Regions from separate parts of the Mus musculus genome. Here regions 1, 2 and 3 are each reported to be linked to region 4. The links are microRNA targets in miRTarBase. Many come from high-throughput screens and were not tested one by one. Region 4 holds a microRNA gene; each other region holds the end of a gene's coding sequence.

Evidence for each region. The annotated mature microRNA mmu-miR-362-5p reads AAUCCUUGGAACCUAGGUGUGAAU and lies in region 4 at 782-805, shown strand. An mRNA with a match to its seed (bases 2 to 7 or 8) in the 3' UTR can be bound and repressed. Matches are read on the target gene's strand: a 7mer-m8 pairs with bases 2 to 8, a 7mer-A1 pairs with bases 2 to 7 and ends in A, and an 8mer does both.
Region 1: miRTarBase lists Neto2 as a target of mmu-miR-362-5p. The part of its 3' UTR that is shown has no 7-base or 8-base seed match.
Region 2: miRTarBase lists Igf1 as a target of mmu-miR-362-5p. Seed matches in the 3' UTR shown: 7mer-m8 at 1,761-1,767 and 7mer-A1 at 2,757-2,763.
Region 3: miRTarBase lists Xpr1 as a target of mmu-miR-362-5p. Seed matches in the 3' UTR shown: 8mer at 889-896.

What each region holds. Positions count from the first base shown.
Region 1 is chr8:85,637,887-85,641,066 of GRCm38, reverse strand. Neto2 (neuropilin (NRP) and tolloid (TLL)-like 2) reads left to right here. Exons shown (of 9, transcript NM_001357288.1): 9 at 1-3,180. The coding sequence ends at 531. Among named protein-coding and RNA genes, the nearest start is that of Mir8109, 61 kb to the left of the region's middle.
Region 2 is chr10:87,930,474-87,933,623 of GRCm38, forward strand. It overlaps Igf1 (insulin-like growth factor 1), which reads left to right. Exons shown (of 4, transcript NM_001111275.2): 4 at 202-3,150. The coding sequence ends at 261. Among named protein-coding and RNA genes, the nearest start is that of Igf1os, 69 kb to the left of the region's middle.
Region 3 is chr1:155,278,433-155,281,612 of GRCm38, reverse strand. Xpr1 (xenotropic and polytropic retrovirus receptor 1) reads left to right here. Exons shown (of 15, transcript NM_011273.2): 15 at 543-3,180. The coding sequence ends at 603. Among named protein-coding and RNA genes, the nearest start is that of BC034090, 35 kb to the right of the region's middle.
Region 4 is chrX:7,239,644-7,242,823 of GRCm38, reverse strand. Mir362 (microRNA 362) reads left to right here and starts at 778; the gene lies at 778-842. All of the region lies in intron 2 of Clcn5 (chloride channel, voltage-sensitive 5), which reads left to right. Mir501 (microRNA 501) reads left to right here and starts at 1,473; the gene lies at 1,473-1,581.

The DNA of each region.
Region 1 (3,180 bases), not on the chromosome of region 4:
ATTATTGGCATTACATCAGGAATTGTCTTGGTCCTTCTCATTATTTCTATTTTAGTACAAGTGAAACAGCCCCGGAAAAAGGTTATGGCTTGCAAAACTGCATTTAATAAAACTGGGTTCCAGGAAGTATTTGATCCTCCTCATTATGAACTATTTTCACTAAGAGAGAAAGAGATTTCTGCAGATCTGGCAGATTTGTCAGAAGAACTTGACAACTACCAGAAGTTGCGGCGCTCCTCCACGGCCTCCCGGTGCATTCACGACCACCACTGTGGATCACAAGCATCCAGTGTGAAACAAAGCAGGACCAACCTCAGTTCCATGGAACTTCCCTTCCGAAATGATTTTGCACAACCACAGCCAATGAAAACATTTAATAGCACCTTCAAAAAAAGCAGCTACACTTTCAAACAAGCTCATGAGTGCCCTGAACAGGCTCTAGAGGACAGAGTGATGGAGGAGATTCCCTGTGAAATTTATGTCAGAGGGCGAGACGATTCTGCACAAGCATCCATATCCATCGACTTTTAATTGCTGACTAAAGGCATTATTGTTAAGTGTGTATGCAGCCTACACCAACACTCATTCTATCTCCGCATCCAATCTTGTTCTATCAAATTTAGAAAGCCCTTCATAACTTATCATAATGCTGATGATTTTATTATCTCAGGCAATCTATATATGTGAAACCAACTAAGAAACTTAAATGTATTCAGTGGAAAGAAGGCATCATCTGTTGCTGGTATCTTAACCTGTAAAACACCACCAGTGCAATAGCAGCTGAGGAGCAGGTCATGCATGTTAAGTCAGGCAGAGCAGCCCGGTGCTGTGAACACCAGGCACTGTGCGTGTCTGCACAGCCCCATCAACTTGATCTCACAGTAAATTTAAAAGTTTTTTCTTTATATTCCTTTTGTCCTTCTTTTTTCTGTTATGTTTTCTTTGCCTGTGGTTTTACCATTTCAGTTTCCTGCAGACGGGGATAATATGTCACTCAATTCAGCATGGCCATGCATTTGCTCCTAAATGAGTGTAATACGGCTAGTACTGTAATAAGTGGCAGTTTAAGATGCAGTCATATTTCATTTCTTCCTGACTGATTTCTACACTGTTGTCTTTAATAACTGCATCTTTAGTTCTGCTTTTCTATGGGAAGTAGGACTTATCACCTTTAATCATGTTTCATCTTAGTTATACTAAAAAAGTAAGAATCCTAGGGTATATTATTACCAGATACACATGAACAGAATTTTGAGAAAGATTAAAAACTTGTAGCAACCTCTGAAGTTTTCCCCACTGGGTCTCAATTCAGTGACAGTAATCAGGGTCCTAGAACTCACCTGTGAGCAGACCTTTAATTATGGCTCCATGCAGAGCTTCTCAGATCTTATTCCCTATCATCTTTCAAAACGATTTCTTTGTTCTCTTGGTATTGGTTTGTCTTGGACATGGCCATGGTTGGTGGAAGCTTAAAGAAATTCTCAGAGAAACTGTGTTAGCCTTTACATAGCTTCTGCTTGAAACAGTGCATTTTTCTACCCATTATCGAGAAGAGCAATTTCAACTTTTTTTTTAAGCTGCACTTTTAACCTTATGTTTTTTAAAGTATATAAAACAATAATTTATAAACACGGTATCAAAACTCATTGTGTTTTTTTAGACTTTTGATATTATTTGATATTGTATAAACTTTATTAGATCAAGATTTAAGACATACAAGACAATTTCTTTAAGTCTTCACAGTAGTGACTTTATATAGAAGAATACTGTGATGGGACTGTACTGTAATTTATTATAAAGACCTTGCTCATGGTGATATGTACATACATTTTTCTTTCTTTTGCTGCTGTGTTAGTTGGTAATAAGTTTTTCACTGTGTGGTATTTATTGTTCTAAATCACAACAGAAATCTTATATTAGAGTATACATTAATTCATGATCCTTCAATTATATTATTTATAGCAGGAATCCTTTGAATAAGATATAGATGAGGAAGAATTCATATATTTAATGATAACCAATAGAGATAATGCCATTTTAAAGAAGTAAATTCTCATTTTCTATATTGAACTAAATTTCCAATGAATGAAAAGTTGAGGTTTCACTAGATTTCATTTATTTTTTTAAGTACTACATAAATCTGATTTCTCAGATTACTAAAAACTTTGACCTTTAGTGTGATGTACTTTCTGACCAAAGTGTGTTTTCTGTATGACATTTTTTTTATTTTTAAAAAGGAAATTATATCAAGAATATTGGGAAAACTTACCCTTGGCATAAGCATGACTTAATTTTTTAAGTCAGTAGATGTTCCTGCTTTGTAAAATAGAACTTGGAAAAGTAAAAGGAATCTCAAAACATAGTAATCACTGAACTATCCAGAGAAAAATTAAATGTTCTTTCAGTAACTATAAGCATTTTATTATGTGACTTAGACCAGCCACCACTCCAACACCATAGTAAATACTTAAATTGATAGCTATGATACCATAGTGAAATAAAAATTAACAATTTTATAAATTATATCCACTATAAAAATAGTTGTCATATTCATCATTAATTTTAAGATTATAGTTTATAGTATGCCTTCATACATCATGATCACTTGTAGGTGTATTTTTATTTTTAACACTATTCTATTTTAAAGGAATTTGAAGGGATTTACAAAACAGTTGTTTGTACAAAATACTGAACATTCCAACCATGTAAATTTGCATGATCTCATGCATCAGCAAGAGAAACTCGGGTGATCATTTGGTTCTAAATTCTCTAACTAGAAAGTTGATCCTTTTCACAGTAGAAAACACTTATATTCAGAGGCTAAAGTGAAAGCCATAAACTTAAGCAGTAACAAATATGAAGTTAAGCTGTCTTATGTGAGTTATTATACCCTACAAAGTACCTGTGTTAAACACACCCTTCAGTGAAAAATGCAAAGCCAGAGGATAGTAAAAATCTCCAGTGCAAGAAAGTACTAAGTACAAACTATATGATACCAACACATTGCTGTCGTTCATCCCAAGTTCACTACAAGCTGTCAGCTCCCAAGTAGCCACAGACTGCAACCTACACATCCCACTGTCTCAAAGACATGGGAATAAACTGTTATTTGTTTGCAGAAGAGAGTTATCAATATAAATATTGAACAAAAACCAAAGGATGTTTACATTTCACATCATG
Region 2 (3,150 bases), not on the chromosome of region 4:
CTAGCATAATAAAGAAATAATGATTCAATACCTGCAAAGGTATTGAAATACTACTCTGTTCAGTCATGGCATATGAGTATCAAGTTAATTATCTATCACACACTGGCTAAAAAACATAAGGGATAAATGAATCGCTTAAAGACATAAATGGATATAGAAAACCACAACAACTTAATGGCCGCTTATCTTTCTTATTTGCAGGAAGTACATTTGAAGAACACAAGTAGAGGAAGTGCAGGAAACAAGACCTACAGAATGTAGGAGGAGCCTCCCACGGAGCAGAAAATGCCACATCACCGCAGGATCCTTTGCTGCTTGAGCAACCTGCAAAACATCGAAACACCTACCAAATAACAATAATAAGTCCAATAACATTACAAAGATGGGCATTTCCCCCAATGAAATATACAAGTAAACATTCCAACATCGTCTTTAGGAGTGTTTGTTTAAAAAGCTTTGCACCTTGCAAAAGTGGTCCTGGCGTGGGTAGATTGCTGTTGGTCCTTTATCAATAACATTCTATAGAGAAAAAAAATATATATATAACTATATCTCCTAGTCCCTGCCTCTAAAGAGCCGAAAATGCATGGATGTTGTAGAGATCCAGTTGCTCTAAGTTTCTCTCTGAATTTTGGCTGCTGAAGCCATTCATTTAGCAACTGTGTAGAGGTGGTTTATGAATGGTTCCCTTATCTTCACCTCTTCCCACGTAGCTCAAGCTGCTTGTTTTACAGAGTCTAATCATCTTGTCTAGCTGCATTAGACACACCCTTTCCTAACACTTGTATTTGTTGAATTTGGCCTCCTTAAGAGCAATAGCAAATAAGTAGTCAAGTGGCCTACCAAGTTTTAACGTACCTGACTCCATCTGTGGCATTTGTACCAAATATAAGTTGAATGCATTTATTTTAGACACAAAGCTTTATTTTTTTTGACATTGTGTTTCAAGAAAAAAAATAGAATAACAATAACTACAACTTTGAGGCCAATCATTTTTAGGTGTGTGTTTGAAGCATAGAACGTCTCTTAAACTCTCAATGGTTTCTTCAAATGATAAGTTAGTATGTAACCTAAGTATAGCAGTTTCTCTCTTTTTTATTTTTTTCCATATAGAGCACTATGTAAAGTTAGTATATCAATAATACAGGAAATATCAAACAGTATGTAAAACTCTGTTGTTGTTGTTTTTTAGTACAATGGTGCTATTTTGTAGTTTGTTATATGAAAGAATCTAGTCAACACAGTAAAAGGAGAAAGCAAAGCAAAAACAACAAACGAAAGCCTGGAGCCTAAGATGACAAAACGAGGAAGGGAACTGAAAAAAAAAATCCTTCCTCTTGGGAGATGCAAAGGCCTCCCCAATTATGCCTTCCAAGAAGAACTTAAGATATAGAGTCCATTAAGACGCACTTACTTGTCAAGTCCAGAGAGGAAGCTATGGAGTGGGAAAAGCAAGAGGCTAGGGATTTGGGAGTCCTGGTTTCTTTTTAATCACTGAAGAAGTAAGTATTTGCAACCTGGGTCACACAAACTCACCACCCTGTGACCTCAGTCAAATCACTCCACCTCTCGGTGCCTCAGTTTTCCTCATCTGCAAAATGGGGGCAATATGTCATCTACCTACCTCAAAGGGGTGGTATGAAGATTAAAAAGTAGACCTTCAGATTTTTGTTCTGGGTTTCCAGGAGGGTGCAACATCAGAACCCTTGAATTGCTAGGATGCAAGGAATTCTGTAAATAACCCACTAACAATGTAGCTCCAAGGATCATTCATCTGTCACTGGGATGCCACCACAATATCCAAGTTCTTATTGGTGAAGCTGTGCAACTAATTAGTGACAAGCTAAGGACTCAGTCTCCCCAGCATGTCACACGGCAGGAGACATTTGATTTGCAGTTTTATTTAACTTCTGCATTTGAGCTTATGACTATAAAGACTAGTGAAAAGAAGGGAGAGAGGAGAAAGAAGATCCTTGCCAAGTAAAGGGTAATTAATTATTATTCCATTTATCCACTCTCATTAAAGGGTAATTAATTATTCCATGTATCCACTCTCATTAATCCTTCCAGTCACTTAGTATCTAGAAATAACTCTAACATTGTCAATGAGACTCTACTCAGTTTGCCAAACACAATTCTCCTTCCCCATAGCATATGAAAAAAAGGCGCTGACATTCTTAAATTTTGAAATAGTATCTATTACAATCACAGGTTGCTGTAGCAGATGTAGTCTTGCCCTTGTTTGTACATGCATGTATTTTTTTTTTAATTTTATGAAAATGTGCTAGCAAGAATTGCTACTTGAGGGGCAAAATTCTTCCTTCTCAAGCCTGAGGTTCTCCCTAGTGTCTGCTTAGAAGGAAGGATCCAGCTTCCTGGAAATGTGTTGGATGCATTCAACTGGGCATTGCTAACCAAAAACATTTAGAAAAATGTTCTCTATGTATATAGCAAGATTGTCTCCCTCTTTTAAAAACAAAATCCAATATTCACATCTTATTACCTACAACCTTGATTCTCTATTGCAAGCTTCCTTAATATTCTTATAAAATGTATTAAGAAAAACAAAAAGGACACCTTTAGCTCTCCTTCCGCCAGGTTGCCTCTAGAATCTCTGGGGAAATGCAGAAGGTGCTGTTGAGTAAAGCCCTCAGAAGGATTGGATTTAGGAACATCAGGCACGCTGTACATCCCCTGATTACTGTAGAAATGTAAATGGAATAAGAGGTCAGCTGACCATCCACCTGCTTCCCCAGAAGGATACAGGGAAAAGTTAGGCCCTCACACACCCTGGGTGACACTTCTGACTTCTAGTTCTTGTTCACAGTGTGTACTTTTTCAAATTGGTAATTCCCAGAAAAACACATAGGTGGCCTTCTCCAGATCTGTGGGCTTCCTGCCATGGTTGGATTTGGTGATTCCAAGTGTCTATCACATATTTTGTTCACTTAATTCTATCCACAGTCAGAAATTCTTTCAATGAGGAAAGTTTAAATATGCAATCCTTTATCCAATACCTAATTCTCTCCAACTGCATCATAAATCAAGTAATAAAAATTAATTGTACTAATTAATCATAATAATGTACCATTGTACTTTTAAATGAATGAACACTGCAAGACAAATCTATGTAAACTCTGAAAAGTAACT
Region 3 (3,180 bases), not on the chromosome of region 4:
TTCATTTCAGGGGTTTACAGGGAAACGCTGGGAAACTAGATGGCAGCCAGAGGAAGGCAGTTAGAAGAACAGGCTTAAGGTACAAAGAGTGCAGGGAATCTAAGGTGAGACCTGAGTCTCAGCTCTGACGTCATAGATTCATACAGCCTTAGCACAGCCTTAGCCTCCTGAATGTCAGCCTCCCCATCTGTCAAGTGGGAGTAACAGATCTCCTGTCAGAAACACTGCCTTCACTGTTGAGGCTAACGAGTGTCGGGTTACCCAGTCCCATTTTTATTCGGTACAAGAATCTCTGCACAGCCTCCTAAATCAGCAGCGCTAACAGTTTGACCGAGGCTCCTGGCTATCACTGTACCAGTGCTCAAACTCAGATCCTTGTTTCCGGGTACTGCTCCGTCTTTAATTCAGCCTACTGCTGTTCCTACCTCTCCACTTGCAGTACATAGCTCCTGGGTAGTGTGCGTGCTTGCTAGTGGGAAGAGTGGACCCAGCAGCACTGCATGGGACTGATCATACATGTTCATTTCCTCTGATCACGCTAGATCCAAGGCTCGCGACACTAAGGTATTGATAGAAGACACAGATGACGAAGCTAACACTTGAATTCGCTGAAGTCTAGAGTAACATCCTTGGTTTTCTACTCTACAATCCTTTCCTCGACCAACGCAACCTCCAGCACCTTTTTCCAGCTGAGAACAGGAGAAAACAGAACACGTTCCCGGGCTCTTCAGATCGGGTCCTATGGACTCCGAGCAAGCTCACTGTGTTTCTTTTCTTTTCTTCTGGTTTAATCTTCATTTTCTATTTTTAAAACAAATACTTCATTTTGCCAATCAGAAGATGTTTTAAGGAACAAACACCTACTATCTTACGGATTGTTTACAATCACAAGGATACAGAAGCCCATCAGGATGAAGAGAAGCTTTGGAAGGAACGTCTGATGCACAGCCCAGAGAGCTCAGCTTCGCCGGCCGGTTTTGACTGTCTGAAACCGGACACCGGTTTTTAAATTTTCTGTCAGTTTCTATGGAGAGTTTTTCCCTTCCTTCATAGCCAGTGCAGAGACACTGGCAGCACTTGCAGGGAAAGTGCAGCTTGGAGCAGCACCTCCTCCACAAAGCTACTTTTAATTCGATGTGACTTTTCTCATCTGGGGAGGGCTTCGGGTGGGTGGGGAATATGCTGTATTCGTTACATACAGTTTCTCATTATTTATGAAACTTAACCATAAATGAATGCTACTCCTGTGAAGGGAGGCAGGAGGAACTAAGGCTCACTGGCACTGCGGAGGGTCAACCCCACACACCTCTTTCAGGAAACAACTAGTTGATTTTTTTCCCCTCATTTGTTTTAACTTTAAACCAAAGTTTTATTGCTAAATTTTAAGTTGCTGCTCTAGAGTCCCAAGCATCACTGTCATGACCAGGCAGGCATCCCCCTTGCATCCCAGTGGTGGAAATCCAGAGAAAAGGCTCTGACTGTTGTTTCTCTAGGAACAGGTGCAGGATACAGTCACCCAAATACCAGTCACAAAAATGACGGTTTGCCACGTGCTTCTGCATGTAGAATTGTAATCTTTACCAGTGGAAAGACAGGCCTGTTTCAGGCCCCTCACACTTTATTAGACATTTCCCCTTCTGGTCTCACCTTCTTCAGCCAGAATTTGATCAAATTAAAAGTCTTTTGTGGGGACTGTATTTCTGAGCATCTAGAACAAATCCTTTATATTCATCGACACAAAAGATCTTGGTGGCTATTTTTAAACCCAGCTGTATTAAAAGGTGATGTTGAATTTTACGACACCCCTACCATGGCCTGCTTTTAAATTCGGGGCTTCTAAACCTGGTTGTACTTTTTAAATTATATTTCTTAGAAAATTCAGGATATAAATACCTACTTTATTCTCTATCTCACCCCCTTTCTTCATAAATTCTCTAGAGAAGCCTAAAAACATACAGCGCTTGACTGTCTTGAAAATGGTTGGTTTCATATCTGGTACTCATCAGCTTGTCACTGGGAATCTAGATCGTTGGTAGTAGTGACTGCCCAGCATTCTTGAGACCCTTGATTTTCTCTCCAGCATGGGTCAGGGTAGAGAAACAGCCATTATTCAGTAAAATTAATATAAATACCAGGAAAAGGTAAATAAATGGCCCCACCCTTCAGATCTAGATAAAAGTCCCACGTAGGAGGGCCATGAACGTGTGCCCTTGTCAGATGAACTTTAGACTAAGAAACCGGTGACTAGGGAAACAGCAGTAACACTTACATTGTTTTAAAACTTGGCTACTGCCCCTTAGCTCGTGCTTGTCATTAGCTCCTCCTGCATATCAAACCCTTACTCACTAAAGTTACAGCACTGCTAAAATCCTACTGATTAACTCACCAGCTTCCGTTTACAAAGTTTCTTCCATTTTTATTCTGACAAAGTTCCATTTTTTTCCTCCTTTCTCGATTGAGATTTTTAACAACACCTTGCCCCCATCCCCCACCCCAAAAAAGCTCACTCAATGTTGTAGGTTCTGTTGCTTTTTGTGTTTTGCCAAGCATGTCCCTTGCCCCAAAACTAAAGAGCAAATGTTTATTTAAAGTAAAAACAAAACTATAAATAAATTGTATACTTTATAATAATCAGTGGTAACAATTTAGAGACCCTGGCAGATTAAAGGTTGCATTATTTTTATTTAGATTTTTTTCCCTTACTATTTTGTACTTTAAAGCTGGGGATAGATTTCACTGGTTTCTGAGGTAACAGCAGTAACGATTAGGAATATATAGAAAAGTTCAGTGACCAGTCATTTCTTGTACAAATAAAATCAGTGGTACTGTGTATCCAGAGCCCTGTGAATTGTCAGCTTCTTTCTCTGGTAGTGAGCTGAGTGGCGGCACACACTCCTCACAGTTGACTCCTGATGTTCCAGCTCTCTGATGTCTTTATGTCAGGTAACACAGAGCCAGTTTGGTCTTTCTCCCCCTGCCAGGATCCCAGGCCCTAATCAGTATTATTTCTTTCATAAACAGTAAGTGATGGAGTATATTCCTTTTCTGATATCTGTCCTGTTGACCACTCAGACGTAAGTTTACAAGCTGTGCGGCTTACATGGCAGACGCTCCAACGTGTATTCAGATGCTCTGGCTGCATCCCTTCCCAGCTCTAAAGAGATTTCTCCATCAAAAGAC
Region 4 (3,180 bases):
TCTGAAGTAACTTTAACAAGATGCTGATGTGTGTTAAAGGATGCCAATCTCTACTGCCATCTTGTGAGCTTATGGCCTCTTCTCTCTGTCTCTCTGTCTTTTTTTCTTTCAGTATTTTGTATCTCTGGCTTTATATTTTTATAATCTCAGAACAAAATATGAATGTATATATTTAGACAGGTTTCTCTGTCTCTGTCTGTCTGTCTGTCTGTCTGTCTCTCTGTCTCTGTCTCTCTTTGTCTCTGTGTCTGTCTGTCACTCTGTCTCTCTCTCTCTCTCTCTCTCTCTCTCTCTTTCTGTGTATGTGTGTGGAGGGTGCAGAGGTCAACCTGAGGTGCTTCCCCTTTGGGGACATCTACCCTGTTTTTTGAAACAGTCTCTAATAGGGACTTGGCACTCACCAGTTAGGCCAAGGGATCTAGCTTTCTTTGAGTCCTCACGCTTGGCTCTTTTATGTGGAGGCTGGGAGTTGAACTCAGGTGCCTAGACATACTTAATGTGAAGCTCAAGAACATTGTCTTCTTTCTCATCACAGATAAGCACCTTGTGTCAAAGGTGAGCCCATGCGTTCATTTGCTGTGAGCCTTTTGCCCTGCTTCAGTTCTCTGATCCTTGCTACCTGGGTGAGAGTGTTCTTCAGCAAGGATTCTGAGAGCCAGACCTTTGTGTTTGTAAAGGACAGAGCGCATCTCTCGTTCTCTTTTAGTGTGTTGCACACAAGCATATTGACCACACACAGGAAGGGCAGGTTCCTGAGCCTTCTTGCTTGCTCCCCCTCTCGAATCCTTGGAACCTAGGTGTGAATGCTGCTTCAGTGCAACACACCTGTTCAAGGATTCAAAGAGGCTGAGCCTTGTCTGCGTGTAGAATGGCCCATACTTGCACATCTCACCTGCCACCTTCCCTCCTCCTGGCCACCATTTGATTTTGGTTTTAGCTGTCAGACTTGGTTCTACACATTTTCTAACAGCAAAATGGTCTTTATCATGTTTGGTAGACATGCTTCTATTCTCAGCATGAGCTTTCTTGATTCCCAGTTTGCTAAGTGTCAGATCATGTGATGAGGAGCACACATTAGGTGCTGCTACTCAGGCAACCCGTTTGTTACATCCAGTGATAACCCCTGTTCCACAAAGCTTGAATTGTATAAAGGCATTGGAAAGGAATGGAGTATCCTCCTCCACTGTGCCCTCTTTCAGTATGTATATGCATTCTCAGATCCCAGCCTTCTTGCTACCTTCCAAACATAAATCAGGCCCCCACAAATTCTCAAGTATGATCTGGGAGAGATACCATTTTGTATACGTAGAAGTTTTCTCTGAGAGAGGATGCTCATGGTGGGAAGGGGGCAGATACATATATAAATCAGGGATGTCAAGCTTGGGTATAGGTGGTGATGCTTGGCTGAATCAGGACAAGGAAAATTAAATATTATATACAGAACCACACAAACATGGTACAGGTGCCTGGGCCTTCTGCTCTGCTCATCCTCTCTAATCCTTTGTCCCTGGGTGAAAATGCTATTTGTATGCAATGCACCCGGGCAAGGATTTGGGGAAGGTGAGCCTGATCTGCATGGAGAAGGACAGGAGGTCTGTGCATCATATCTCATCTGTTTGCTGCTTGCATACTTCTTTTATGCCTCCCCCCACCTTCTTTCCTTCTACAAATACAACGGGCATGGTGCATGGGAGAGTAAATGTGACAAATTTGGCCTCTTCCCACCTAGATTTTATAGGTAGAACTTTATTTCCACTTATGACCCTAACAGGTATCAAGAACAAGTGGGGCACATAGTAAACTGTGTATTGACATAAGTGCGCAGCTTTTCATTCTAGTTCTCATACCGACACCTGGAAGAGAAATTCTTCTTTAGTTCAACTCTTGGAGGAATGCACAGGGCAAGAACAGTAAGCCTTCTTGTTGAACCCACATGCCAAGGGCATAGGTGCAGGCTGTGCCTTTCTAGTACTTGCTACTTGGATGAGTGTGCTTTGCGAATGCAATATACCTGGGCAAGGGTTCAGACATTGAGTTATCTTCATGTAGGACCTTTACGCCTCCTTCCACTGTTTCCTGTCTATTTATTCAGTATGGCAGGTACTCAACTAGGGATTTGGTCCACAGGAGTATGAACCACATGTGGTTCAGGGAGCAAATGGTCCAGGGAGAGTGAGCTGTGTCACATCCATTATGCCTGCATGAGTGGACTGTAGACTGGGACTTCATGTACACTGTCCACTTGGATTCTTCCATATTTTAACACAGTCCCATATAAATGCAGTGTATACAGAGGAGAGGATTCACAGACTTGTGCCCACAGAGAGGATTATCTGACCTGATTCATCAGGAACATTAATCCTCAGCACAAGTGCTGTTTTCAATAGTAAGTCCTGTCCAAGGAATCCAAAGGGTGGCACTTCGCCTGCACTTTAAAGGACAGAGCCCCTATATGTCCACACCCCTGTTCCTTTTCCTTCCTTTCACAAATATTCAGGTATGCACTATTTGATACAGCTCTGTTAGTCATAGAGGATGTAGCAGGAAACAAAATGAACAGAGGTGCTACTCTCTTAGGAGACTAATAAACACACTAAGATCCTTGACTATTATAGACTCACCAACTGCTGTTCAAAAGAATGACCTAGGTCTATTGTTCCTTGTTTTCTATTCTGTATGAATGACTCAGTGCAGGGTCTGATAGATGAGATTTCTCAAACTATTCCCCCTCCCATGGCCCTAGATATGCCTAAACACATGGGCCTACGTGGAGAGGAGTCACTCGCTCACAGGAAGAGTGGATATGGAGCCTATTGTGTTGTTCCCTCTCCTCATCCCTTCAGCCCGAAGACCAGTAGACTAAGTGACTTCTTGTCAACTACCATCACTACTCCCATTTGAAGACAGGAGCTTACTGTCTTACTGTGTAGCTCTGTCCCTCAAGCTGATTCTCCTATACCCACCTCCATAGGTCATACTTTTCTACACACATTTGCAAGCTGGCCTGGGCAACATGTGATCCCAAAAGAAAAGTGAATCTCTTTCATGTTAAAAATAGTAGTCTTTATATCATGTATATTTTTTATTCAGATGAGGGAGGTCTAACTAAGTAGCTTAGTCCAGCCTGGAACTTGCTGTCTATTCCAGAGTAGCCCAGATCTCTTGGTTCACCTGCCTCAG